3 linked regions of the Stegostoma tigrinum genome follow. The protein of the gene in region 2 interacts with the protein of the main gene of each other region in a biochemical or structural test. Links are inferred from orthologs where the notes say so. Each region holds a gene or a part of one and is shown on either strand. Other genes may lie near its edges.

Evidence for each region. The genes of interacting proteins can lie anywhere in the genome.
Region 1: the proteins of erbin (region 2) and acvr2aa interact in a test that uses a peptide from one of them, tested with the Homo sapiens proteins (2 studies listed by BioGRID and IntAct). The link is inferred for Stegostoma tigrinum from reciprocal best matches to the Homo sapiens genes ERBIN and ACVR2A.
Region 3: the proteins of erbin (region 2) and abcc4 interact in a test that uses a peptide from one of them, tested with the Homo sapiens proteins (2 studies listed by BioGRID and IntAct). The link is inferred for Stegostoma tigrinum from reciprocal best matches to the Homo sapiens genes ERBIN and ABCC4.

The regions. Positions count from the first base shown.
Region 1 is NC_081360.1:83,446,517-83,456,897, reverse strand, and holds the start of acvr2aa (activin receptor type-2A), read right to left. Parts: upstream 4,959-10,381; 5' UTR 4,486-4,958; coding exon 4,431-4,485; intron 1-4,430. UniProt on the Homo sapiens protein: On ligand binding, forms a receptor complex consisting of two type II and two type I transmembrane serine/threonine kinases.
Region 2 is NC_081356.1:111,628,646-111,638,777, forward strand, and holds the start of erbin (erbin), read right to left. Parts: upstream 4,726-10,132; 5' UTR 4,072-4,725; intron 1-4,071. UniProt on the Homo sapiens protein: Acts as an adapter for the receptor ERBB2, in epithelia. By binding the unphosphorylated 'Tyr-1248' of receptor ERBB2, it may contribute to stabilize this unphosphorylated state.
Region 3 is NC_081359.1:44,661,288-44,671,149, reverse strand, and holds the start of abcc4 (multidrug resistance-associated protein 4), read right to left. Parts: upstream 4,959-9,862; 5' UTR 4,840-4,958; coding exon 4,766-4,839; intron 1-4,765. UniProt on the Homo sapiens protein: ATP-dependent transporter of the ATP-binding cassette (ABC) family that actively extrudes physiological compounds and xenobiotics from cells.

The DNA.
Region 1 (10,381 bases), on a different chromosome or scaffold from region 2:
GGAGATGTCAGAGACTGCTAAAATTCTAACAGAACTGGACAGGGTAGATGCAGGGAGTATGTTCCCGATAATGATGTGTCCAGAACGAGAGGTCACAGGACGAGGATTCGTGGTAGACAATTTAGGATGGAGACGAGGAGACATTTCTTCTCTTCTTCCTCCTGGAGTAAATCCTGAAAGCATGTGAGCCTGTGGAATTCATTACCGCAGGAAGTAGTTGGTGCCGAAACACTGAATGTATTCAAGAGGCGACTAGATATAGCACTAGGAGCGAATGGGATCAAAAGGTTATGGAGAAAAAGCAGGGTTAGGCTTTTAGGTTGGAATATCAGCCTTGATCGTAAAGAATAGCAGAGCAGGATCAAAAGGCTGAATGGCCTCCTCCTGCTCCTATCTTCAATGTTTCTCTATTTGATTCTACGGCAATAGTATAATAAAATAAACAGACTTGCACTTATATCACGTATTTCACAACCTGAGACCACCTGAAACACTTCTGCATGCTTAATAACCTAAAAGCCATCTGTTTATCAGCACTACAATGCACTCAGTGGACTCAATTAAGTGTTCATTTCTGAAGTCATACGTTAATACTTGACATGATGTTTTGGACAATTTTTCACTGACTTCAAAATTTTACATCCATAACATACACCAGTCTGCCACCGGGCAACTTTAAATACATACAGTGTTTGATTGGAGGTAGTGGGTGAGGAGGGGTAGGTAAACAGAAGAGAGTAAATTTAAGAAAATCATTTTGAAGATACTGTTGGAATATTTATTTGTGAATTGTAACTTTAGAGTAACAAATATATTATTTGCAAAATACAGAAAAATAATTTCAACAAAATAACATTTGGAAAGTACTTGCCTGGAAAAATTTGTAAAATTTTGCAGTGTATTCTATATTTAGAAAAATAATTGAGTTTAACAGAAAGTTATGCCACGAACACACACAATCAATTAGCCCTGTGTCAAATGAAGATTCAAGCTTCTATTTCACTACACCAATGGAACTAAACCATTTGGCATAGCTGTAGTTGCCCCTTCTACAGTAAAATGGCAGAATTGTTTAATGGGATTGATCTGATTTCAGTTAGTGTAAGACACATTGCTGTATGACCACTTTGCAATGTTCCTGAGATTTGTGAAACAATGGTACTTGAAAAACATTTATTTTTACATGAAATTTGAAAAGATTTGTAAGATTAAGCCAGAATGAAAGTTAGGTGTTATAGTGCAGCATGATATTTCTAATTCCTACACCATTGCTCTGAATCCAAACAAAAAAGTCCTCATATGGGATGTTGAGGGATTTGAACTGTAGTCATTGTCATCTGCTGGACTCTTCACTCAATCAAAAAAAGGTACTTTGCGTGTCCTCTGACATTTTTGAATTCAAAAATTTTAAGTGCTGAAAGACCAATAATGTAACCAGCAATTTATTGCATTTTCCTTTAGAATTCAAAATTGCAAACTGGAAATATTTTATACAATATCCATGAAGTTGAAGAACAACTAATCAAATATAGCATAAGTGAATCATGCACACTGAACATAACTTTAATGGTGATTAATTTTCTGTACCATGGACACCTATAGATCTATTTGGATCATTGCACGAAGTGGGCCATAGCATCTTATGTAGTTGCTTCTCTTTGAGTTTGCTTCTCGATCCTTATCCAAACTAAATATAAATTTATATCAACAGTTCATAACTGTTAATCTTAAAACATTATTAAACTAACAGCCAGTAAACGACGCAATAGTGATATTTCAATTTGAACTGCAATGAAAATACCTGCTACCCACATAAGTAAAAGGCATGTGGTCGCACACTTCTGTGTGGACAAGCAGACTATGACACCATTTCATCACTGCAATGCTAAACCCAGTGACCTAAAATAGTTCTTCCTTTACTCTACAGGACGATCTCACAAACTTAGGCATGCTGTATCTGATAAAGTCCTATTTTAGAAGTTGAAGTCATCCAATCACACTTCTGAAAGTCTACGTAACATATCACAATACCTTAAAATCAGCACACATTTACCTGATGCCAAATAAATTGATTTCCATTACCCACATTAATTTTAAAAAGGCAAAATTTCGAGAATCCTACAATTAGTAACTTGAAAAACAGTTTGTATGCAAAACAAAATAATGCAAAACTTGAGCAAAGAAAACAAAATACTAACCCTCTCAATGACCACTGCTGACTTTAGAAATGGCCTCTGAATAATAGATACAGTATTTTCCAGTTGTTAAATATATTTAAAAATCCTACAGAAATATGAAATCTAAATGTTAAACATGGGTTGCTGGCTACATTCAGGCTTAGAGCAGTATTAGCCATTGTAAATGCAGTAAGTTAAGCATTGCAATAAACTACTTGCTCAGTTACACTTAAAAAGCTTTGAAATTATTGCTCCTAGAATAGCCCTTTTAGTAAATGAAGCTTTATAATTTATGCATAGTATGCTATTTCAAATTTTCAGCCTGAATTCTAAAGACACACATTAAAAAATAAACCTGTCTGCCAATTTTGCTAGAGTGAAAAACGTTGAGCAAGTCTCTTGTACAGCCACGTTTCCCACCACATACCTCCAAAAAGGATCTACTCAAAACACAAATCAACCATAAAGAACATTGCCTCGTAAAAAAAGTTACAACTGCTATTCAATACTAGAAAGGTCAATGTTCGCCATAGAAAACAATTAATGAATAAATTCCATCAGATATTCTTAATTATATTCGATAATTGCGCTGGAGCCTACTTGCTGAAACAGGGAGGTTCACATCTGGTAAATTCACACGTAGTTTCTTTTATAAACAGCTAAATTCGACAACAGAATGCTGGCAAAGCCAATTTAGCATAGATTTTTGTCAGCACTATTTTATATTATCTTTCTTATTATACAGAAGCACATCATTCACAGTTCTGTTACGGCAACAATTATTTTCCACAAAAAAAGATCTGGACATCAAGATTACATACATCAAAATATTTCACAAATGGAGAATGTTATAACTGACTACAAAAATGGGCATCAGGCATCTGTATTGTATTAATCTATAACCAGCTTTTTCTTCTACACTAAAACATTTTGGAAAAAATACTTTCTACAAGGTGTCAATGTAGTCATACAAATATTGCACACTTGTGCCTTCTGCAGACCAAGATAAAAAGAGAGCAAAAGGAATTTACAAAATGAAATGCCCAAGAAACTGCCAGCTCACTACCGTAAAACATCTGACAACAACTTCCAAATAGTGATTAAGTCGTCTAATGACTACGATTGAAAATAAACACTCAATACTCAGAAGATGCGTAGCATAAACCAGCTACGTGTCATGGACTTTCATCTCATCGACACAAATTTTATACATTTAACATTCACATGAAATGAAGAATTGGGCTTTGCACTGTGCAAACTGTATAGTTTCAACACGAATATTGTTTTGCTCGTTATTCTGCATAAATGATTGCTGTGCAAGTAGTATAAAACTCAGAACACAGTAATATTTCCTAAATAACAAAGCAGGCGAAGCTCTGAAATGAAAATGGACCACTCACGATGGCTGCTGTTACAAAGCCGATCGTGAAACCTTTAAAAAAGAGTACATAAGCACTTCAGATTAAATGCGACCTTTTCACCAACAGGTCTGCATTTGACGATATCTGCAAATCAATTTTCTGAACAAAATTGCAATGTAACTTGTTACAAAACTTTAATTAAACAGGCGGAGATGCTTTGTACAACTATCGCTTCATCTGTCATCTTTTACAATATTCATAAACAATTACTCTCATGGGACGGGGAAGGATGAAAAGGAAGGTACAGGGAAAAATGAAAACTTTTCACCTTAAAATCACTAAGGATCTTTGTCGTTCAATACAAGGACTGATTTTCCACTTTGCAACAGATTGCAATAGGAACACCCATTTTTTTCAGTTACTTTTTTTTTAAAAAGTGTACTTTGAAGGGGTTGATTTTACTAAGTTGTACAAATTTCACGGAAAAAAATTGTACGTAATGAATTTAAATCGAACGTCACTTATAGTTTAAGACTAGCAATACTCCGGAAAAAAATGAAACCAAAGTCAACCCTTGGCCGTTTATCTATGTATTTAGTAAGTTTGCCTTTATTCCGATCAGTCACCTTGAGCTTGTTGGTATAACATTACAAGTAAAACACCAACACCGCACTACAGAAACTCAGCACATGCACGCCACAAACTGGCTGAATTTACTCATCCAACAGCAAATAGATTGTGCCAAATTACGAGCTTGCTTTTTTTTGCTGCGAGGTTCGATTGCAACATCCACAATTTTAAAAAAATCGCATGCTATTTAAGATTTACGTGCGTGAAAGACTGGTTTAAAAAAATTCTGGGGTAAGAGAGCCCAATAAAAACTATCACCTACCTGAGGAGCACGAAATCAGAAAAACAGCAAAAACAAGCTTGGTACCAGCTCCCATGATTTTTTTTATTGATATGTCTTCTTTTAAAACAAAAACCGATTAATTAGAACACAACGATCGCTGTATCGCAGCCGAGGGTAAAAAAATCTTTACGACTCCACCACGTCTTCTGACTTGCTGCTGGCAGCGATCCACCTTGTAGCAAACGTTCCCCCTTCTTCAGTGGGCAACTTCATTCAAAAAGGTAGGGAATTTAAGCGATAGCATACACTTCGGCTGTCAATGTTTTTTTGTTTGACAAAATACATAGACGTGTAGAGCCGATAACGCCAACAAGGGATGATTTGGGAGGAAGAAAAAACAGCCGCCATTCACATAAAAAGTAGAGGGTGTGGAAGAAAACATACGATGCAAACCCTCAGCTCCTTTGACGGGAATGGTGTACTCGAAGTCTCCCGGAATTCATAATTAACGAAGTAGGCCTAAGTCCAAAATGGCGTTGAATTGTTTTTGTTTCCTTCCCCCTACCCACCCCCAACCCCCGCCCCGAGGTGGATTTCAAAAAAAACGGCAGTACGAGCTCGCGAACAGGCCCTCCTCCTAAACAGAGCAAAAGCGAGAAGCGGTGGGGCGAGGCGGTTTACGTAACCCGATTGGCATCGCCCATCACCAGTCACAGCTCCGCCTGTCTCAAGCGTCAGTGTGATTGACGTCCTGTGAGACCAGTAGAAGACCTTCACTGCATTGTACAAATTCGCTTCCACCCTCCTGCGAAAAAAAGGCGCGTTTATTATTGGATCCTGACCAATCCCCTTCCAGCAGGTAGGCGTGACTGCATATATGTGTGTGTGTGTTTTTTTTTGGCGGGGGATGGGGGAAAAGATGTGGAGCAAAGCCGGCAAGTTGGTTGAGGCGAAGCGTTCAAACCTAGCCTGATGGTAATGACTGACGTGCGCTTCCAGCAATCGAGAGCTGCGGCTTTATTAATTGGGCGAGGAAGTTCCAGACTTGCCGTGCAAATCCGATAAGAAGAATTTTGCTAATTGGTTGGAAGCGATGCGCAAGATATGTAGAGTGGGTAGGGTAAAAGCGCATGGTGTCGGAATGCAATCCGACTCCAAAATAGTTGTAACTTTTCGCTGATCTTAGCTTGAAAGGTCCTTGAAGTTGCTGCATCTTTCATTGTTGCACCTGCCTGCTGAGATGCCCCAATGTTCCTTCCCTGCTTTAGTCGTCTTGTTAGCCAAGTTAAAGGCTAAGCTAAGTCAGTATTCGGGGTAATAAATATTCTTCGAATAGCAGTCTCTTGTCGAAATATATTATTTCCGTGTCAGCCCAATGTTGCGGCTCTCTCTCTCCTAACAGTGAAGGTGAGGGCTCTGAGGGTGACATATCAAATTAATTAGTACCCAGTCGTGAGTTTGCAACACAGTCCACTGTTTTAAAGACTTCGGTATTGTGATTCATCCGGAACTTATTTTAAACATATGTTATTACTGTTTCGGAGTTTCTGATGGTGCATGCAATTAGAATTTTTGTCACTTTGGTGCACAGTCACGTACTTCATATGTAAGTGGCAAACTCCACTTCTGAGTTATTTTTTCCGGCTACCGTCGCCGCTCGCTCGACGGAAGAATGTACTGATGGTAATTGTAATTCTTCGATTTACTCAGCGAGTAATTGAACAAAGCTCCTCGATAGTGATTCATAAGTGCTGCTCAGAAATGGTGCACGTGTTACACAAAGTTTGTTCAACCTGAAAAATGCACTATGCACTAGGTAAACTAGCCCCCCAACAATCAGTCCTTCAAAGCTTAAACTAATTTTTTTAAAAATACCGTTGCACTCTGATTGCACCTTTTCAAAAAGTGCAATTCAATTCTAATACTCCGACCTGTAGGAGTGGTATGGGCGAACTGGTTCGGCTGAAATATTTTTCTGCGTCGATGGGGTGTAATGGTTTAAGGTCTCATTAACTTGATCACCAGCAACATTGGTGACCAATCACGTAAAAGAAAATCGGGTCGTAAAATAGATAACCTTAGAATGACGACAGTCAACTGGCATAATTTGGCTGATAAGAAACATTCTTTTTACCTCGATATGTTTGTCTTTCTGCCAACCCCACACTTGTCACTCCTACTAATTAAACCTATTCTTATCATTTGTTAAAACTTTAAATGTAATACCTTCCCACATTGGACCTACACTTCCTAAATCATCCTCTGGAAAATGTTATGGCGACTCCTGCAACATTGTCTATCAAGTTTCTGCGCCAAGCAAACTACTTGCTTCTCATTCCAGTAATGGTAATTAATGATATGTAATCCCGCGCCACTGACCCCAACCTGAGAACTGGTCTGTCAGCAGTTTGAAAATCCTCCGTAACGTTCAGAATAGTGAAATTCTGATAAAGATATAGGCAACAGATTTACTTCTCTAGTCGGATTGCTACATTCGAGTTCAATGTCTTTGATTTCCATCAAAGCTTTGAACCTGCAGAGGGTGCCTGGGTTATCACGTTACGCGGGGGAGAGAAGAAAGTCAGGTTCAGCTGTGCCTGGTGATCAATTAACTTGATATTTATGAAGGCTGATACGTGGATAATGGCTTCTTGAGCTGGTATGAGACAGCAGCTGCTACCTTTTTAACAGGGAGTTAACAAGCGTTAAGAAATGAGAAGGGTGAGGAAAACAATTCATGGGGGAGGGGAGCCTCAACTGCTATTTCTATAAATAGAAAACAAGGCTTTTCTTTCAATTGAGCTATTATTTGATTATTCTTTTAATCTTTAATGTTTTGATGAAATCTTGTGGGAAATTCAACATGCATTCATGAATATCATAATTAAGATGGAAAAGAAGGCAAATATTTTAAAACTGTTAACTTTGGGATTTTTTTAAAAATCCAGTATCTTGTGTAGAGTTGCTTTTTTGTTCTATGTAACAACTCAGAATGCAAAATGGAAGCTGACACCATTTGACAATAAAACACCGATAAATTTCAATCTTCATTATGACCAGTTTATTTACAAAACACTTATGAAGTTTTTTTTAACCTCATCCAGTTTTCTTCCTTCCTTTCTTAAAGTTCAGAATACATCGCCTCCAGGGATTATGTTCCTCAAGGTACTGGCCACATTCTGGTGTGCCACTTTAAATTATTCTTTAGATCTGAGTCAAGTCAGTTTGGAAACCAATCAATCTTAGACGCTGTCACTGCTTAATTCAACAACAAAAATTTGCATTTTATCTAGTGCCTTTAATACTGTGTGACCATAACTGCTTTTAAGTGAATGCCAGATAAAAGCAGTGGTTACTGGACAATGATTAACAGCAGTCAAGAGTGATGATATTGCCTGCTAATTCATTCAAACCCATTTCACTTTGTTTTCTCCATTCATTTATCCCTGCTTGGCATAAAGGCTATGGAATCTCATTGAAACATTCAGAATACTGAGAGATCTAGATAAGGGGGCTGTGGTAATGTTTCCAGCAATAGAGGAGATTAGGACCTGAGAGCAGGGTCTCTGAATGAAGGGAAGACCCTTCTAAACTGAGTAAAACAGGAATTTTCTTAGCCAGAGGATGGTGAATCTGTGGAATTCATGGCCACAGAAGGCTTTGGAGACCAACTCATTGAGTGTATTTAAGACCAAAATAGGTTCTTGATTGATAACTTCTGAGGCCTGCGATTTGAATTTTAGTCATGGAGGGGAGCTGCTGTGTAGAGATTCTGTGTATATAGAACTATGGTGTTGTTACAAAGTTGGAATTAGTGATGTTTTTTAAGTTGCAATATTTCTATGAAAGCTTATTTGTGATTTGTATAAATTATTTCAAACTGAGGGGTTAATTACATTTTAAAATAACCTAAAGATTGATAATCCTTATGAATAAGGGCTATCATTGTGCTTTTACCTTCTATTGTAACACTTCACATTTCTTGGGAAATTGTCAGGTAGGTTTGGCATGACAGTATACCATCAGAACCAAAATAAAATTGAGATGTAATCTTTTCAATGCTTGAAAGCAATTTTAAATCTGCAGCATTTTTAAATAACACGTGGTCAGAGCCAATGAAATGTTTCATTAATGCCTGTAAATGTTGAGTTTGTCAATGCAATGTTCCTGTAATGGTTAAATTTTCCTTTGTGAAAAGGAGCATAAGATATAAACATAGGTGAAAATGCTAGAAGCACTCAGCAGGTGTGGCAGGATCTGTCAAGAGAGAAAGAGCGTCAGTGTTTCTGGTTTGTATTTTTCATCAAAAACCAGACCAAATCAACACAGAAAAGACATTTTTATAACAGTGAAAAAGGGTGCTATTTGGGTTGACCTCCTTTATTTGTAAAAGTGAATGTAAATAACAATGGTCAGATCTTAAGTCAACTTTTTTGTTACCATATTCTCTGGTCACTGACTGATAAGTATTCAGGGCTCATGTAGTGAAGCAAATTTTTCCCCACACATTCCATCATCATTTCTTCATTTCAGTTCCATAAAACAACCAAATGTACAGTTTTATATAACCAAGAAGTGAGAATAAAAGTGCTGTAATGACCAAATAAAAAAATAACTTGGTCTGACTTTGTAAAAATTACAGAACATAGTATGCCCCTTGAACAAAATTTTCCTACTATTGTTATTGGCGGAAGGCCAGGAAAATAGTGGAAACTATGATGTGATGGCATCCACCTGCATTGGCAGGATAGAGTTTTTGAAGGGACAAGGTGAGAATAGGATTGACTCTCAACAGTGACGGCAGCATCCAAATCTAATCTTCCTGAATACTACTTGGAACATAACTAAAATAAAAATGCAAATAATTTCAAATGGTCATCTTCTCTGATACTTGCAACTTCCATTTTACACATTGCATCTATTGAAATTGTGTGCTTGCGTTTAATCTTCCAGAATGGTGGGACCTTGGGAAGCAACAAGGATCAGAAAGCATTTGAATACATGTACACCAGTCTTTTAATATGTCTGGACAGGTGGATGATGTGAAGAAGATGTACAGTATATCTGCCTTCATTAGAAGAGGCATAGTTGAAGAGCATCAAAGATATGCTGGAATGTACAAAATAAATTGGTTAGACCACAGGTAGAGTATTGTGTGCAATTCCGGTATCCACACTACAGGAGAATGTGATGGTGCTGAGGAGATTCACCAGGATGTTGCCTTGGCTTGAGAGTTTGAGTTCTGGAGGGAGACTGGTCAGACTGGAGTTTTTTTTGAGACTCCAAATTAGATTTATTGTCACGTAGTCAGGTTACAGAACAACAGATAATGGGAATTGCAGATGCTGGAGAACGCAAGATAGAAGTGTGAAGCTGGATGAGCACAGCAGGCCAAGCAGCATTTTAGGAGCATAAAAGCTGATGTTTTGGGCCGAGACCCTTCATCAGAAAAGGGGGAAGGGGAGAGGATTCTGAAATAAATAGGGAGAGAGTGGGAGGCGGACCAAAGATGGATAGAGGAGAAGATAGGTGGAGAGGAGAGTATGGGTGGGGAGGTAGGGAGGATGGACAGGTCAAGGGGGCGGGATGAGGTTAGTAGGTAGGAAATGGAGGTGCAGCTTGAGGTGGAAGGAGGGGACAGGTGAGAGGAAGAACAGGTTAGACAGGCAGGGACGAGCTGGGCTGGTTTTGGGATGCATTGGGGGGAGGGGAGAATTTGAAGCTGGTGAAATCGACATTGATGCCATTAGGCTGCAGGGTTCCCAAGCAGCATATGAGTTGCTGTTCCTGCAACCTACAAGTGACATCGTTATGGCGCTGCAGGAGGCCCAGGATGGACATGTCTAAGGAATGCGAGGGTGAGTCGAAATGGTTCGTGACTGGGAGGTGCAGTTGCTTATTGTGAACCAAGTGTAGGTGTTCTGCAAAGCGGTCCCCAAGCCTCCGCTTGGTTTCCCCAATGTAGAGGAAGCCACACTGTACAGTGGATG
Region 2 (10,132 bases):
ACAGAAATGATTTTTCACACATCAGCAGGTACTACTACTTGTACACAAGCATATGGATACTTGCTATTCACCAAACTCTAGAGAACTTCACCACAAGTGGCAAAGACAGGTCAGGAGCTTGGATGCTGGATTGCAATGCACACTGACACCAATGGCACACACCCAATTCCCCTACTACTTAAGGTCATCAATGAAGAACTTGTTCCTTCCTGAGGTCACATGAGGCACAAATAGGCTTTTAACAAAAAAAAATTTCATTGGCATTTCTCTGTTGTCACTTCACAAATGACCTGATTTAAATCAACTCAGTAACATGCTATAGTGAACTTTGACCTAACAGCCTCTATACTGACAATACACTACCCAATAAGTGTTCATACCCAACTAGGATCACACTGCGTATTGGGTTATTCAGTGAGATTTCAAGTAGAAAGCATTGTGGATTCAGTGACATGTCTACCCCTCCAGAATTATTCATTCACTTTGCCTAGGTTTCAAATCATTCTGTCTACTATAAAATTCTGACCTTGTTCCAAACCTCCATTGCCAAATTTTTGTCATCGAGCCAGCCTGACATCAAAGAATTCCCAGTTATATTCACCCCAGAGATGATAACTTTAAGAAAATTGGCAATAGCTCTAAGTGGGATCTGTGTAGCATGATTGCCTCCAGCTCATAGGCAATGGATGCAGAAGCATTGACACTGATGGCAGCAGGAAAGCAGCACACTGCCAGGACCTTGGGGATGAAGTCGGGAAGGTGGGGAACAGAGGAGCAGACAGGGTGAAGGATATGGAGAGGGAATAATGAGCTTTTAAAGCTGTTTCAGTCTCAGTATTTTCAATTTAGCATTAATTTATTCAGTATATTACCACTTCTACAATTTAATTCAGTAACTTATTCTGTAATCCAAAATGAGACCAGAACATGGTGACATTATACACTTTTCACCGTACCTAGGTACAAGTGACATTAAACAAATCTAATCTCAACTAGCATGGATAACTTCCATCCCTCTGTATAAAATGTGACAAGTTGGTGGCATGCAATTTCAGCAGCAACTGGCTGTGTTGCCATAACTCATTCACTGCAGGCTTCTGGACTCATGACCTACAAATATACATATATGAGTGTGGTCAGCAGCTCACAGCAGCAGTCATTCATTCCAAACCATAGACTTTCCTCATCAGATATCTGTCTGTCGTCTGGAAGACCTGGTGAATAACTCTCAGTTGACCAGACAACTTGATGTTGTTTCAGAGATAGTAGGAACCACAGATGCTGGAGAATCTGACATAACAAGGTGTAGAGCTGGATGAACACAGCAGGCCAAGCAGCATCAGAGGAGCAGGAAAGCTGACGTTTCGGGCCTCAACCCTTCTTCAGAAAAGGGCCCTTTTTCTGCAGAAGGGTCTAGGCCCAAAACATCAGCTTTCCTGCTCCTCTGATGTTGCTTGGCCTGCTGTTTTCATCCAGCTCCACACCTTGTTATCTCAGACAATTTGTTGTATTGGATATTCCAAATCTCATGCAACATACAGCATGACAGAGTCAAGGAATCCTCAAGCATTCCAAAGGCCATTTCATCCATCACATCTATATTAGAAAATATTTCCAATTAGTCTCCCTGTCTTACTTTATTCCATAGTCCCGCATTTTTTTCCAAACATACATATACTCTAGTACAGTACAGTGATGGGCTTCATTTACAACTTTTTGCATTGAACAAGCACATGTCTGTTTCCAGTGGATCTACAATGACTTATCACTGTGGAGACATTAATGAATAGCTGCCATTCTCTTTTTTTGGGGGATGGATATGTGGTGGTCATGTCACTGGAGTAGCAATCCAAGACCCCAGGCCAACGCTCCGGTAACATGGGGTCAATTTCCATAAAGCAGATGATGAATTTTGATTTCAATTTTTAAAAATCCTGGAGTAAAACCTGCACAACGGCCACCGGGTTATGACTATCAATGTCATAAAAATGAGACTGGTTCACTCATGTTGCTCAAGGAAGGAAACCTGCTGTCCTTACTTGGTCTGGATAAAAGGTGATTCCAGACCTACTGTAATGCAGTTGACTCTTGATTGCCATTTGGGCCCAGGCAGTAATGCTCACATCCTGTGAACAAATAAAAAAAGACACCACCAGGTCTTCTGGCATAGTAAAACCCAAAAGAACTGTGGATGCTGTAAATCAGGAACAAAAACAAAGTTGCTGGAAAAACTCAGCAGGTCTAGCTGCATCTGTGGAGGAGAAAACAGAGTTAATGTTTTGGGTCCCGTTCTGAGGAATGGTCACCGGACCCGAAACATTAACTCTGTTTTCTCCTCGAAAGATGCTGCCAGACCTGCTGAGCTTATCCTGCAACTTTTCCTCTTCTGGCATAGTGGTTAGTGTTCCTGTGTCTAAGCCCAAAAGCTCTGGATTCAATTCCCGTTCCAAGGCTTGATAGCCAAACAAAGTGCATCTGTAATGTTGCCAAACAGATTGGACATTAAACAAAAACAAAAATTGCTGGAAAATCTCAGATGTGGCAGTATTTGTGGAGAGAAATCAGTTAATATTTAGGTGTGGTGAGCCTTCAGAATTGATGGTAGCTAGGAAAAGGATTTGTTTTATACAGAAGGTCGTAGGGGGGTATGGGAGTAAACATTACGTGGAGATAGACCCCAAAGAGAAGGATAAACAAAGACGTGGATAAATACCAGGCTAGGAGAATAAACAGCTGCTAACGGGAACTATTAGTAGTTAAGAATAGATAATGTCTGGTCGCAGCCTATGTTATGACAAGGCCTGGTACATTTTGGTGGTGGAAAAATGAGGAAAGGTGCTCAAGTTGTAAAATTGTTGAATTTGATATTAAATCCAGAAGGCTACAGGGTTCCCAAATGGAATAATCAAATATCAACCTGCAAATCCTTCAAACACATGCCAGTGACAGATGGCAAGGGCGGGGGACATTCCTGGCCGGCCATGTGACAAAGAACAGTGGAACCTCCAACATCATTAACCATTGATCCAGATCACAACATACAGTAAAAGGTACACATTGCCAGAGCAATTCATTAGTCTATGAGAACTGTAACACAGCACCACCACAAACCAACACTGCCACTTCACTCCTCCGTCCCTACATATGTACCTTATTATGAAAGGCTAACTACGGCAACTTGTTTATGCACATGCCTTCGGTTGTATTATAGCACTTCTACAAAGTATATTTCTGGGACTTGTGCATAAGCAGCAAACATTATTGTTTTGAAAGTTTTGATGACAGCTTCACACTCCAGTGAGTAACAAACCACAGAGCACCAAGATTCAGTTCAACTCTAAGGAACTGCAACTCAAAACCTTCAAACATACTTACACTCTTCTGTTAACTCAAAGCTACAGACAGCGACTTAATTTTGATCTCAAACCATTTGGGTAGCTGTGAAACCAACACATGCGTGTTTGCATGTACCTGTGCATCAAAAAGATGGATATAAAGACGGATATAAAGATCGACTCCGCGTATTTTCAACACTAGATTTTTTTCGGACCGCCAGCAGAAATTGAAAAACGAGGTCAAGGTTCCATCAGAAAGGGAGGGTTGGAATATGGGTTAACATTTGCTTCCTGTCATCCAAAAGATATGCCAGTTGCTTCTTCCTAATATCAAGCCACTTATCCGAGCAAGTAAATACAATATTTATCTTCTAACACCGTTACTGTGAACATGCCAGTGTTGATGCAATAAGCTGTTTCGGCTCAAGCCCTGAAGTTAAACAAAGGGATCTCTGTCTGATACGTTTAGACCTTGAACAGCGTCAACTGGTCAAGGTTTAAACACCTCGAATGCAAAACTTCCTTCTCTTCTCACCAAATAAACAATACTTATCTCTCGTTTGGATTGCTATGTTTTACACCGGGTTTGGATGTGTAGGTCATGACTGCTATCCTAGCACTACCTTTTTTTTTGGGGGGGGAGGAAGGTTGGTGTTAGAAAAGAGTGTGTAGGCCTTCCCTCCGAAGGCGAGCAGAAACCAAGCCGAAAACAAATTCCAAGCACAAGCCATTTTACCTTCACTCGCCACTGATCCAGACGGCCCGCTTCTTCATCGGCTTCCGATTTAAACTTCAAAACAATCCAAAGGTTCGATCCGGGGGTGGGGGGGGGGAGAGCTGGGCTTTATGTGGTATTCAGAGCCGAGGCAGGACCAAACACAATTTCTCCTTTTTTTTAAGGGGGGGTGAATATTAAAACAAAAAAGGAAAAACTCGCGAGCTCTCAACACAAGCTCTCCGATCTCTGTCGATGGTAGTTAGACCAATTAAATCTTCTGCGCGCTGAACTTTTGCAAGTCTTTCCCCCCCCCTCTCTTTCTTCCCCCCTCCTCTCCAATGATGCAACCAAGTCTCTCGCGGTTTGTCGTCTCGAAAGTAACTTTCAGATCCGTCGCTGAATTTAGAGGTTCGCACGCAAAATAAAGTAATTAAAATGGAGTAAAAGACGACAGTGGGAGGAGAGGGGGAAAATGTACCAAGTCCTTTCAAAGCAGGAAACGGCGGGCAATCGACAGCATTTCCCAAGACTCGATAAGTCAAGAAGAAAAAAAATGCAACAAGGGAGTCAAAAAAAGTCCCCTATCGCCGAGTTTCACCTTCAGGAAGGAGCTGATGTGGTTCTTCCTCCTGCTGCAGCTTTATTTTATTAAATAACTTGCCCCCCCCCCCCCCCCAACTCCGGCTCCTTTCTTACTGTAAGATTGCCGCACCCAAATCCATCCGAAATTAATTTCTTCACCCCCCACCCCCCTTCCCTCCCCTCCGTGTCTGGCTCTGTTAACGATGCAGACAGGATCACCAACACATCGCTCCAGGTTTTCGCGCAACTCCCCAGAGCCTCAGGCAAATGAAGAGAGAAAGCAGCCAGTAGAAACCACTGCGTCCTCAGCAGACACAGCACACTGACCGAGAAGGAGGGGTGTGTGTGTGTAGTTTAGGGAGGGAGGGGAGAATGTGAAGTGAAACACAGGCAGATATGCACCGACAAGATAAAGCAACAGCGCCAGCTGTCTCCAGCGGCTACAATGTCGCCTGGGCGCCCTGATTGACATTTCAAGCAACCACACGCTGCGGCCTCCACACTCCCCTGTCAATCAGCATCCCCAGTCCCAATCATCTCCTGCTCCTGGGTCAGGGGCGGTCTCTTCCACGTCTCTGCTTTAAAGTTTCCTTTCCTCTGGTTGGGTGATTTTTTTGAAGGGTGGAGGTGGGGGGAGGGAGGTGATGGGATTGAGGATGAGAATAGGGAGGGGCTGGAGGTGGGTTTATTAATATCATTTTCCAGCACACCGCCGTCCTCATTTGCACTAAAGTTGATGCTTTGGGGGAAGTTGAGGCCGCGAGATTGTGCCAAGTCACTTCCATTGTGTCTTTCTCAATCTCCCCTCCTGCCGGTTAATAATTTCCAAAACCGGGCTGGCACGCAAAAAAAAGCAATTTACATTCATACAGTGAGTTCTGAAGAGAATAATGTAATTTTTTTTCCAGTTTGCTTTACGAATCCAAATAAGATATGCCGTTGTCTTATATATGAGGCAAACCGCTTTTGAGAAGGACATAGTGACTGACTGAAAACTCATTCTTTTGGCACAGGCACAGAGTGGAACTTGTCGCACGGATTGAACGCCATTCTGTTTGGATCAGATTCATTGTCTGACTCGGCCACCACAACATCGGTTTGTAACACGGACACCACATGAATTCACTCATTTTATTTAACACTCTCAACTCCGAACTCGCTGTACCGTGCTCAAATCAATTTTTTAAAATTCTATTCAGTAAACAAAGACCAAGAAACAACCAAGTTTTGATCATGTCGGATTTGTGCCACATCTGTGATTTTTATCACCGGGCCATTTATATTTTTTTCTGTGACAAAGTAGGATATATCTTAAAGACATTCAGACACGCAGAAACCCTTGAATCGGTATATATTTAATTGATTTCTCCTTTCACAGATGTTGACTTGTCCAACGCGTGGAATCCGCTTTTGTTTAATATACTTCTCGCATGTAAAATGTGAATAGGTATAACGTGAAACTGAGACAAGAAAATCATGAGACTGTGCAGTCCGCGTCGAATTGATTCTCGTCTGCTTTATGAAGGGAGAAACAAATACGCTGTGTTAGTAAATACTGTCGCCTGGAAATGGGAAGATTCAAATGCAGTATCATCTGCTTGTTTGAACTGCTGTGATTCACAAATATATCACAGTGCAGTGCATGTTAGGTTCTGTTTTCCCCCCAGAAATGGAACCCGTTAAGCGTTCGAAGCTGACTGTGCAGCGCAATCTCTGAGGCAGTTGCTTTGGACCAACATGCTCCTTTAGTTTCCTCCGTGTACTATGTCGTGTTATCAGAATCTGTCTTCACAACCGAGACATCGGTGCAACCCTTCCTTCCTGAATACTTTCCTGTCTGCATCCTGCATAAGCTTCTATGCACGCATAATCTCAGATCTTCAAAAAGAACTGCGCTCGTCTTGCCTTGAACCTGCGCCATCGTGTTCAAGCAAGTTTCTGTCTATCGTTTCAATGTAGCTGTACTATGAAAGCATTAAGGGGTTTTACTCCATCATTTTGTAAATCAAAATTTAAAAAGAACTATTTGTATTTACATTATTAAACAGTTTATTTGTCTCAAAGCTATAAAACTGATTTTTAAAATTAGTTTTGTGAATATAGACCAGCACGATAAGAATGTTTTTTTAAACAGTCTGACGGTAATTTCAGAAATTGCCTTTGGGTAACTTAATATTTTCAGATAGAATCTGCTGTGTTCTGTAATCTATTCACAGAATGAGATCAATGCTGACAAAGCAGCTTTTATCTCTATCCCTGCCTTCCCTAACGATATGATCGCATCGTTCTCCTTGAACTACTGCAATCCCTGTGAGGAAGGTGTTCTCGTAACCGTGTTAGACATTTAGGATTTTTACCAGGTAATAAAGTTGGGAGGATGCATTCAAGTCAGGGTAGTGTGGATAAGTTGGAACTATACCTTGGCAGTGATGCAATGCTCTGATTATTCTGCACTTTTCCCAGAAAAGGTTTTTGGAGCCAGGAGGTTCTGTCGAAATAAGCTGAGTGAATGACTGCAATGTATCTTACATGTTGAGCATGATTATATAAATAAGCACAGAAGCACATTAGTGCAGGCCCCACAAATAAAGTCTCATGCTAGTCACTGAGAGGGTGAATTCTGAGCCTAGTTTCAAGGCTGCTGACCAAGCAGATCAGGTGGGGTTGACTTGTTTGAATGGTCTCATGGTAGCAGCCAATCAGATAATTGGTTCATCTTCTTCACAATCATCACTTCAGCCCGATAGATGGTAGAGTGGCTCTGAAGTGTCAAAAGGAGATTTGCAAAGTTCTTGACCTCTGCCTTGTTCTTGTAAGCCCTAGTTTAGTATATGGCCAGTTAAGAGATGATTCAAGGTGATTCCCAAGAAAAAATGTACAGTGAAAAAATAAGATCATAAGACACCAGATCAGAAATCAACCATTCAGCCCTTTGAGCCTGTTGCACTATTCAATCAGATTATCAGGTTGACCTGATAATCTTCAACTCTACCTTCCTGACTTTTCCATATAACCCTTGATACTACTGCATTGAAGATCAAAAGGAGATGGGTGGGCTCTCTCCTGCAAAAACATAGTTACCTGGCTTTTAATTTGTTTTTGCCAGGCCAAGCCCTTTGTATTGCCCAAATCCTGCAGTAAACTCGCCTGGTTGCTTCACAAGTAGAAGGTTTGTGAATGAACAGTGGCACAGCAGCTTAGTGGTTAGTGCTGCTGCCTCGCAGCCCGAAGCATTGGGTTTGATTCCACCCGCAAGCAACAGTCTGTGTGGAGTTTGCACGTTCTCCCCATATCTGTGTGGGTTTCCTCCAGGTGCTCCGGTTCCCTCCCACAGTCCAAAGATGTGCAGTGTAGGAGGATTGACCATGATAAATTGCCTGTAGTGTTCAGGGTATGTTTGAGTCGGATGCTCTGAGGGTCGGTGTGGACTTGTTGGGCTTGAAGGGCCTGTTTCTGCACTGCAGGGATCCTGCTGTGGAAATATTAGCAAATTGTCTTCCTCCTGATTTAATTACAGGAGGAAAATCATTTATGGAATTGCTGAAGATGTTTATGTTGAGAGTACTTTGCCTGAGGAATTCCTGCAGCAATTTTCTAGAGCTGAGTTCTTGATCTTGCATAATCAAAATTATCCTTCTGTGAGCCTGGTATAACTTTGGCAAGGGGAGCACTTTGCCCCAACCCCAGATGATTTGTTTGTTGAGATCCAGTGCCATATTTGGTAACCATATAAGAAATAGTAACAGGAGTGGGTTAGTCAGCCCTTTGAGCTTGCTCCACTTTTCAATAAGATCATGGCTCGTCCAACACTCCTCATGTCAATTTTCCTATCCTTTCTCCATAACCCTTGACTCCTCTCCTGATTAAGAATCCATCTCAGGCTTAAACTGAAATGTCAATGATATTATTTATATATAGGAAGCACACAAATATGGAATCTGTTTGTTGTCCATTAAAAATGGGAATATATGTGATTTTCGCTATATAGTAAAGATAGTTATAAATTCATATGAACCAACAGATGTTATCAAACTTTATTATAACTCATGGGTACTCCAATTACTGTGATATATTGATGTTTCAGTTGGTACAAAGTCAGCAAAAACAGACTGAAAAATACTGCAAAATCTCACTTCAGGCAATGTGACATGAGGTGAGTTTTAAGGGAGTTTTAAGGGAACAACACAAATGTATCAGTACAATTAACAGAGGTGAATCAACAGTTATGAGTAAGTGGAATTGACTTGTATTTTATTTTTACAACAAAGTTCAGTAAACACAATCACACTGTAATCCACAACACCCACTTTTTTTCCTGTAATTGCATAAAATGTTAGAATGTCGAATATCATGACACATTTACGACATTTTATACAATCATGTGTTCTGGATCCAGCCAGGTTTGCTAGCTGGCTGACTGCTCCAGCTTGATTTGTTTGCTGCTGTTACATAGGAAAAGAACATTAGAAATAGGAGTAGCAGTAGGGCATTCAACCCCTTTAAGATGCATGGCTGATCTGATAGTGGTCTCAATTCCACTTGTCCACCAATATACTTACCCACCCTGTCGATTAGCACACTAGAGAAATAGGCCAGTTGACTCAGTTTGCCAGTATTAATGCTCAATACAAGCATCTTACCACCCTACTTCACATAATCTCATCAAAATATCCTTCTCTTCCTTTACTTCTATGCAGTCAGGTATGAAATGTAAATCTGGAACTCTCTCCAAAGAGGTCCATTGCAAACTTCAGAACAGATGTTGATCATTTTTTGTTAAGCAAGCTCTTTAAGGTGGTTAGATTGAGTTAAGCCACAGGTAAGCCATAATGTAATTGAATGACGGTACAGAACAGAGGGGTAGAATAACCAATTCCAGTTTCTCTATTCCCTTTAATTATTTGTATTAAATGCTCACTCTTAATAACAATCTTTTTGTACATTCTTCTGACTCTTATGTGAGGGAGATAATGTGGAAATAATTTATCATGTAAGAAAGAAATAATTTGTACTTATATATTTGCATTTTCACATCTTCAAGATGCTCCAAATTTCATCACAACCAATTAATTACCTTAGAAGCATAAGTAGTGTTTTGTGCACAAATAAAGCTAGCTAATCCATTCACAGCAAGATCCCAAAAACTACATATAGGGTAAATCCAGTTAATTTTAACAATATTGTTTGAGGGATAAATGTTGGAAAGAACAGCAAGACCACTGTTCCACTAGTGCATCCATATAAACTAGGACAAGGGACCCTGGTTTAATGTCTCATCCAAAAGGCAGCACCTCCAACAATGAAACATTCCTCCAGTGCTGTGCCAATGTCAACCTGTATTTGGAGATCAGACTTACAGCCTGACCTCAGCTCAGACGTTCTGAGTTGAAGGAAGGAGTATTACAACTTAAGCTAATTCTATGTAAGCCACAGTGTAAAAATCTCAGATAATGCATTTCCTTTTATGTTAATATTATTCCCATTAATGGCACATTCT
Region 3 (9,862 bases), on a different chromosome or scaffold from region 2:
CACTGGCCCCATCACTCACCTCTTGCTCCGTTATATCGATGACTGTATCAGCACCGCCTCATGCTCCACAAGGAGCTCAAACAGTTCATCCACGTCATTAACACCTTTCATCCCAATCGTAAGTTCACCTGGACCATCTCCAATACCTCTCTCTCTCCTTCCTGGACCTCTCTATTTCCACCTCTTGCAGCCACCTGGAAACATATCCATTTCAAGCTAACCAACTCCCAAGGTTGCCTAGAATACATGTCCTCTCACCCGCCTTCCTGCAAAATTGCCATCCCCCTTTCCCAATTCATTCACGTCTGCCACATCTGCTCCCAAGTTGAGGTATTCCACTCTCGGACATTCCAGATGTCCTCATTGTTCAAGGACCACAACTTACTCTCCACAGTCGTTGAAAATGACCTCGGCCGCATCTTTCACATTTCCTGCAACTCATCCCTCACACTCCCTCCCTGCAATGACAACAAAGACAGAATACCCCGTCATCCTCACCTATCACCCCACCAACCTCCAGATTCAACGTATCATTCTCTTTCACTTCCACCACCTGCAATCTGACCCCACTACCAAGGACACTTTTCCCTCCCCACCCTTATCTGCCTTCCAGAGGGACCGCGCTCTCTGTGACTCCCTCGTCCACTCCACACTCCCCACTAGCCCCACCACCCCGGCACACTTCCTGTGGTTGAAGGCAAAAGCTACGTCTGCCCCTACACCTCCCCCCTCATTCCATCCCAAGTCCTAAGAAAACGTTCCACATCAAACAGATGTTCACCTGCACATCTGCTAATGTGGTACATTGTATCTGCTGCTTCCAATGTGGCCTCTTCATTGGGAAAACCAAGCAGAGGCTTGAAGGTCACTCTGTGGAACACCTACACTCGGTTTACGACAAACGACTGCAACTCCCGATCATGAACCACTTTAATTCCGCCTCCCACTCCTTGGGAGGCATGTCCATCCTGGGCCTCCTCCAGCGCTACAACGATTCCATCTGAAGGCTACAGGAACAGCACGTCATATTTTGCTTAGGAACCCTGCAGCCAAATGGTCTCACAATGTGGACTTCACAAGCTTCAAAATCTCCCCACCCTTGACGTCATCTCAAAACCAGCCCAGCTCATCCCTGTTTCTTTGATCCGTCCATCTCTTCTATTACCTATCCACTCCTCCCACCTCACTGACCAACACCCACCCCCACCTCCTATCTACTAGCCTCATCCCCACATCCTTGACCTGTCCATCTTCCCTCAACTGACCAAGCCCCATCCCAGCTCCTTACCTACACTCACTTTTACTGGCTCCATCCCCACCTCCTTAACCTGTCCGTATTCTCTCCGCCAATCTGCTCCTGTATTCCACCTTCCATCATCGCCTCCCCTCCCCACTTCTCTTATTTCAGAATCCTCTTCCATCCCCCATTTCTGAAGGGTCCACAGCCAAAACGTCAGCTTTCCTGCTCCTCTGACGCTGCCTAGCCTGCTGTGTTCATCCAGCTCTCCACAATGTTATCTCAGATTCTCCAGCATCAGCAGTTCCTGGGAGATAGTCTGTTCTCTGGTTGGTGCCATTAAATGTTAAGAAATTGTCCATTAAAATTTTCAATTCCTCTAGACTAAATTTTCCCATCTGATTTTTCCAGTCGACATTTAGGGTTAAAATCCCATGATAATTACTTTTGAAAATTATTTCTTCCCTGGTGCCACGTGGTTACTGTGGGGGGACCTGTACATAAACCCTACCAGTGACCTGTTTAGAGATGTTATTATGCACTTCTGGAACAGGTGGAACTTGAATCCAGGTTTACTGACCCAGAGACAGGGACACCATCGCTGCACCACACAAGCCGTAAATATTTTTCATCAACCTGCTCAAAAATATTATTACACACCTCTGCAGCAGATGAGACTTGAACCCAGATCTCCTGACTTAGAAGGAGGGACACCACCCTGTGCCACAAGCGTCCACAGGCCTACCAGCAGAAATTCCAAAGATCTGAGTCAATCCCCACAGATAGTTAGGTGGTTAGCTTGAACAAGTAAATGTTAAATAATCACCTTAACACCTGCATCCCACAGGAAATATGTCAAAAATGAGTTATGCACACATACTCAGCCACAATACAGCATCTGATGAACTTTTTTTCTTTAAAGGTTAATCAGGAACTGGCCTAGAAAGTGAACTCACACTTCTCATCTCGAACATTCCATTCTCCATTCAAACTGGCACACAAAGCTATAATCTATAATGAATGAAACCATGAAAATTAAAAGCTATCAGCTGTTAACATATTGAATTATGCTTTTCAATCAGCATATTAAGGTTTTATGCAGGAAATCCCCTCAGCCTCAATAGTTTAGTTCATAGGCAGTGAATCAGAGCATTGTTGTTTAAATTTGGCTTAAGACATTTCTTTTTTCTTAAATGTGTAATGCAAAATATTTTCTTTTAATAATTTTACCAAACAAAAAGCAATTTTCCAGAGTGTCAAAAAAGCTTAGCTCGACGAGGGACAAGAACTTACAATTGTACAGGCTGGCGGGCAACTTGAACTTTGATATCAAGCCAATGTGTCAGGGTTTTCAGTTAATTGCATTCAAAAGACATGGATTACAACAGTACATGCAGAGGTGATGTTTGCCTCTACTGTTACAGTACAGATAAACGTGGCCTTACCAAATTGTGCAACAGATAATAGTAGGCTTCTGGTTTAACATTAATTTCTGGAAGTATTGGAAATCAGAAATATAAACAGAAGGTGCCTGAAATACTTAGAAGATCTAACAGTATTTGTAGAGAGAAAAACAAAGTTAAGAATGAAAGGTCACGGACCTAAAACATTACCTTTCTCCCCCTCCCCTTAGATGCTGCCAGAGCTGATTATTTTCAGCATTTCTTTTTATTACTGTTGACTAGCAACATGTAAAACACTACAAATTAAAGTTTAAGTCAGACGCTAAATATGAAAACTTAAACTTTAGCAAACAATCAATTTTTAACAGGAACTAGTCTTCTGCAGTTCTACTCCATAGAACTGGACTCCATGATACTGTGCTCATGCAAAATGTGCAAGAATGTATATTAAGGGCAGGTTAAGCACAATTTTTTTTATTCCTGAAAATCTTGATTTGTATTTTTCAAATTAGCTATTATAAAAGACACCGCCCGTGAGATCTCCTCCAAGCCACTCACCATCTTGACTTGTAAACACATTAACGTTCCTTCACTGTCGATGGATCAAAACAGTTCAAGAAGGCAGCTCATCACCACCTTCAAGGGCAACTAGTGATAGACAATAAATGCAGGCCAACTAGCACTATCCACATACCATAAATGAATAAATAAAACAAGTGAATAAATAAAACAAAACAAATTTCTATCATGAGTCACATCCCCCATAAAGGAGTGGAAAAATAAAGTTATAAACTAAACAATGTAAACTTCTAAGATACTACAGATGTTTCAGAGATAGTAGGAACTGCAGATGCTGGAGAATGAGAGATAACAAGACGCAGAGCCGATTGAACTCAGCAGGCCAAGCAGCATCATCGGAGCAGGAAAGCTGACGTTTCGGACCTAGACCCTTCTTCAGAAATGAAGAAGGGTGCAGACCTGAAACGTCAGCTTTCCCGCTCCTACGATGCTGCTTGGCCTGCTGTGTTCCATCCAGCTCTACATCTTGTTATCTAAGTTACTAAAGACGCAAGGATATCAACGGTTGTGGTGGTTTGTGTAAGAAAATTATGTTGAAGTAGATCAGGAAGATCGGTTTCCTGTCAGTTTCAATATCTATACCATGAGGAAGCAGTAATAAAACTGCTTATTTAGTATTGTGAAAATAGGAGGAGATTTAGAAATGTACAACATAGAAAGACATCAATCATACACCAGACTCAAATTTAACTGTTTCTCATGCCTGTGTCCATACTTTGAAAAAACTATCAATTCTTCCCATGAGATGGCTTGTTCTCCAAAGACCTACAAGCTTTCTTTGACGTGGATATTCAAATATTTAAGTCACCACTGAATCTGCTTCCGCCACCTTTTTTAAGCATGGCCAGAAATAAAAACTTCAACTCCTCTCTGATTCTTTTGTTAAATTGCCTTAAATCTACGTCCTCTGTTTACATCCTTCTTTGAAATAGTTTTTCTGCTCACTCAATCAAATCCCTTCATTATTTCAAACACTTTAACAAATAAATTGCTGCGCCAAGAACAATCACAGCTACTCTAGCAGTATCAAGGGCCCTGGCAAAAACATTGCGTTTTGCTGTTTACTGTCTCACAGGTTTAAATAAGTAATTGAAAGCAGATTTTAAACTTTAACCCTACGAATTGCGGCAAACAGGAACTGTAATGCCAGTTCTATTGTCTACAAAGGCAGAGCGCTGGGAAAGCTACTGCACCTCATCACCGGCACTTAATGTTAATCTCAAAGTTTATCATTAGCACTTAGTTAATTTTTTTTTTAAAAACTGAGGATTTTCAACAGAACACCTGAAAATAAAACCGATCTGGGACTGTAGGAATAGTGGAAACCAGCTAACATTTTCTCAATTTACAACAGTTACGATCTAAGGCTTGTCACTGAACTAATAAAAACCCGTAAAAGCAGAGGGCTCGGAGGGCTGAATGCCTTTGGTAATGAAAAATTATTAAAGGCTACACAGATAAGCAAACAGATAGTTAATCTTGAATGACTCGAAAATAGAAAAAGCGATAAATATCATCACTAAAGAAGTTGTCGAAGCACGCTTACCAGAAAAAGACTTTGGAGAATATATTGGCAGTTCCCATCGGGTTGGGTTTATCCTCTCGGTAGACGGGCTCCATGGTAGTTTGTGTCTCTGAGAGACGGAAACAGTAAAGCGACTGACAGACAATACCGACACACGTTCCTTGGGCGAGCAATCACGGGCCAGGGGGTCGGAAACGGAAGCAGGTTTCGGAGCCAGTAAAGGAGGTGGACGCAAAGAGGCGGAAGCTGGTCTAACGAAGGAGAAGTTACCACGGTGATTGTGCTCTCCGATTGCTGGGTAGAATCACCTGTGTTATTGTCGGTTAGTCCGTGCTGTTGCTGTTTTAGCTTCAAATCAACACTTTCAGAGATATTATACCACATTTCTGGAACAGGTAGTCTTGAAGCCGGACCTCCTGCCTTAGAGGTAGGACTGTTGCCATGTGCCACAAGCTGCTCTATCGACTCTTTAATATGGCCGTGATTTGAACGTGCTGGTGTTGGACAAGGTCAGAAGTTACACGACACCAAATAGTAGTCTAACAGGTTTATTTGAATCACAAGCTCTCGGAGCTTCACCTGACGAAGCAGCGCTTCAAAAGCTTATGGTTTCAAATAAACCTGTTGGACTATAACCTGAGATAACAGGGTGTAGAGCCGGATGTACACAGCAGGCCAAGCAGGAAAGCTACGTTTCGGGTCTGGAGCTTGGCCTGCTGTGTTCATCCAGCACTACACCTTGTTATCTTAAATTCTCCAGCATCGGCAGTTCCCACTATCTCTCGACTATAACCTGGTGTTGTGTGACTTATGATCTTTAAAATGGCGTTGAGATCTGTAACATTAGAGTGCAGCTTCTCCCCCCTTGGAAGTGTTGGAAACACAGAATTCGCAGCTCAAGTAGATCAATGTTGTGGTCGGACTGGGTGCACAGAGTCAGAAGTGATACGACGCTGGTATAGTCCAACAGGTTCATTTGAAATCACAAGCTTTGGAAGCGCTGTTGAATCGTCAGGTGGAGTGCCTGTCAATATGTGCGATCTTTTTGGAGATCTTCCCCACTATGACACCAGTTTTTTTTTAAATTACAAGGTCCCAGAGACGTCGGCAGAAGGAGCAGCACTCCAGGAGGTTGTGGTTTCAAATAAACCTGTCGAACTATAACCTGGTATCGTGGGACAGCTAGATCTGGTAGAGAGTGGCGAAAAAACACCGTTTTGGGATAAGTTATTTCATGGGTTCTGGGCAATAAGGGATTCATCGCCCTTTCAAAACAAAGCAGAGGATTTTTTTTTCTCTCGCTGAGTCTTTGGAACTGCCTTCCTAAAAAGACAGTCGAAGTGAAGTCTTTGAATTGTTGAAGCATTGTAAATACAAATCAAAATAAGGAGAACATTTGTCTAAATCATGAATCCTGAAAAAATATAAGATTTTGAAGATTGTTGATAGAATGGAAATGGAGGTGATTTATCCCCTTGTGCGAGAACAGAGTCGCTGTTTCAAAAGCCAGTCTCGCGTATTTAATGCAGAGATGGGGTGAAATATTTCTCTCTCCGTCATGAGTTTGTAGAACTTCCTGAAAACGTATTGGTGAAAGAATACTCAACTGTATGTGTGAGACATTGTAAACGTGAATCAAAATCAATGGAAATCAAAACCATTGAAAAAACAGCACATTTTTAAGATAAATAGATAAATAGGTGTGTGCAATACGGGATCCATCACCCTTGCAAAACAAAGCAGACAGTTTCTTTAGTCTCACTGAGTCTTTGGAACCCCTTCCTGAAAAGGCATTGATCTATCACAGAACTTGAAACCGTGAAGGTTCAGTGCATTTGGAGAGAATCCTTCTCTTTGTTGAAGAATCTAGAATTAAGGGATTGCCGGTTTATGACAGAGATGAGGAGAACATTTTTTTCTCATTCATGAGTCTTTAGAACTTTCTTGTGTCAAAGGCAGTGGCAGCAGAGTCCCTGAATATTTTTAGGCTGCATTTGCAGACACCATGGAGAAATGGTGCACGTATGCATTAACAAACAGCCGTGAAGCGATCAGAAACAAAAACAGAAATTGCTTGTAAAGCTCAGCAGGTCTGATTGTTTTCTCTTCAGATGCTGAGTTAACGTTTCGGGTCCAGTGACGCTTCCTCAAAACTGATGGTGGCGAGGAAAATGAAATAACGAAGTGTGGAGCTGGATGAACACAGCAGGCCAAGCAGCATCTTAGGAACACAAAAGCTGACATTTCGGGCCTAGATCCTTCATCAGAGAGGGGGAGGGGGAGAGGATTCTGAAATAAATAGGGAGAGAGGGGGAGGCAGACCGAAGATGGAGAGAGGAGAGTATGGGTGGGGAGGTAGGGAGGGGATAGGTCAGTCAGGGGAGGATGGACAGGTCAAGGGGGTGGGATGAGGTTAGTGGGTAGGAAATGGAGGTGCAGCTTGAGGTGGGAGGAGGGGATAGGTGAGAGGAAGAACAGGTTAGGCAGGCGGGGATGAGCTGGGCTGGTTTAGGGATGCAGTGGGGGAGGGGAGATTTTGAAGCTGGTGAAATCCACATTGATACTATTGGGCTGCAGCGTTCCCAAGCAGAATATGAGTTGCTGTTCCTGCAACCTACAGGTGGCATCATTATAGCACTGCAGGAGGCCCAGGATGGAAATGTCGTCTGAGGAATGGGAGGGGGAGTTGAAATGGTTCGTGACTGGGAGGTGCAGTTGTTTATTGCGAACCGAGCGAAGGTGTTCTGCAAAGCGGTCCCCAAGACTCCGCTTGGTTTCCCCAGTGTAGAGGAAGCCACACCGGGTACAGCAGATGCAGTATACGACATTGGTGGATGTGTAATACTACATTGGCGGATGTGTAAGTGAACATCTGCTTGATGTGGAAAGTCATCTTGGAAAATGTCGGTTTATATTGCAGAGGATAGGGTTGAGGAAGGGGGTAAGGCATCAAAGATGGGTGGAGATACAGCCCAAAGAGAGAGAAGAACAGTTGGACAGACTAAGGATTGGATAACAACCTGACTGGGAGGGTTAACAGCTGTTAATGGAGACCGTTAATGGTTAACAATAGGTAGTGTGTGGCAGCAGACTATTTGAGGCCTGGTGCGACAGGTTGGGGGCTAGGACATGTGAGAGTTGGGCTCTAAAATTATTGAACTCAATATTGGGCCTGGAGGGCTGCAGATTCCCTAAGTGGAAAATGAGGTGTTGTTTTCTAGCCTGTGCTTAGTTTCACTGCAACAAGGCTCTGGGGGTGTGTTGGGAGTGACGAAAGAATGGAACAGCGTGTCCCGGAAGGAACGGTTCCTGCAGAAGGCAGACAAGGGAGGGGAGGGGAGGGGACTATGTGTCTGCTGGTGGCCTCTTACTGGAAGTAGTGAGCTGATGATCTTCTGGATGTGGTGGCATTGTAGGTAAGGACAAGGGGAACCCTATTACTGTTGCGGGAGGGAAGAGAGGGGGTGAGTGTGAAAGTGCAGGAGATAACTCAGACCTAGTTGAGGGCCCTGTCGAGAATAGTGCTGGGAAATCCATGCTGACTTGTTTTAATCTGACCCTGCACTTCCAGGAATTTAGAAATCTCATCCTTGACAATGGATTCTAGAATTTTACCAACTACCGAGGTTAGGCTAATCGGCCTATAATTTTCCATCTTTTACCTTGATCCTTTCTTAAACAAGGGAATTACAACAGCAATTTTCCAATCATCTGGGACTTTCCCTGACTCCAGTGACTTGAAAGATCACGACCAAAGCCTCCGCTATTTCCTCAGCCACCTCCCTCAGAACTCTAGGATGTAGCCCATCGGGGCCAGGAGATTTATCAATTTTTAGACCCTTTAGCTTTTCTAGCACTTTCTGTTTTGTCATGCCTACCGTACTCAACTCTGCCCCCTGGCTCTCCCTAATTGTTGGCACACTACTCATGTCTTCCACTGTGAAGACTGACACAAAGTACTTACTAAGTTCTTCAGCTATTTCCTTATCTCCCATCACTAGCCTTCCAGCATCAATTTGGAGCGGCCCAATATCTACTTTTGCCTCTCGTTTGTTTCTTATGTATTACTAGCTCGCCTACCTTCATAATTCATCTTCTCCTTCCTTATTGCTCTCTTTGTTACCCTCTGCCTGTTTTTGTAGCCTTCCCAATCTTCTGATTTCCCAGTGCTCTTGGCCACTTTATAGGCTGTCTCTTTTTCTTTGATATATTTCCTGACTTCCTTTATCAGCCATGGCTGTCTAATCCCACCGCACATAAATCCTGAGTTTCGGGATACACGCCAGAAAAAATGTCCAGGATATTGATGTGCTTTCTTATTTTTAGGTCAAGCAAAAGCGCCTTTGACACATTATGAGGCCTGGTCAACAAGGTGGATTTGAAGAAGCATTTGAAAGGAACAGGTGAGATGGAGACGGTTAGGAAGGAAATTCCAGCACATTGAAGCAGAAGCAGAAGCAAAAACCTCAGTCATTCAAACCTATTCCGCTATTCAACTGGAGTATAGCTAATTTGTATCTTTATTGTAATTCTAGGAGCTGGCTGAAAAAATCTAAAACTTGAGCGACTGTGTGAACAGCTGGGAGTTTATGTTTTCTAAGAAGTGACCAAACAGTGCAAAAATATTATTAAGCTGGAGAGAGTTCAGAAGAAATTTACCAGGATGTTGACGGGAATGGAAGGTTTGAGTTATAATGAGAGGCTGGACAGGCAGGAACATTTTTCTACTGGAGTGTATGAGTCAGAGTCACACAGCACAGAAGCAGACCCTTCGATCCAACCAGTCCATGCTGAACATAATCCCAAACTAAAGTAGTCCCACCTGCCTGCACCTGGCTCATATCTCTCCAAACCTTTCTCATTCAAGTACTTATCTAAATGTGTTTTAAATGTTGCAACTATACCCGCACCCGATTTCAATTAATGTTGAATGCCCAGTATCTCTGTGAATGGATTTCGATTGAAGTTGAAGTTCGTTCTCTCTGTAGACCCCATACTGTCTGTGCTTTGTAACCCAAGGTGTAAAAGCACTCTTGGGCCCGGGTCTCGTTAATGTCAATTGATTGTTCTTTTCTTGTGATGTGTAAATTGGAATTCCAGGCCGAGCCATCGTCCCAG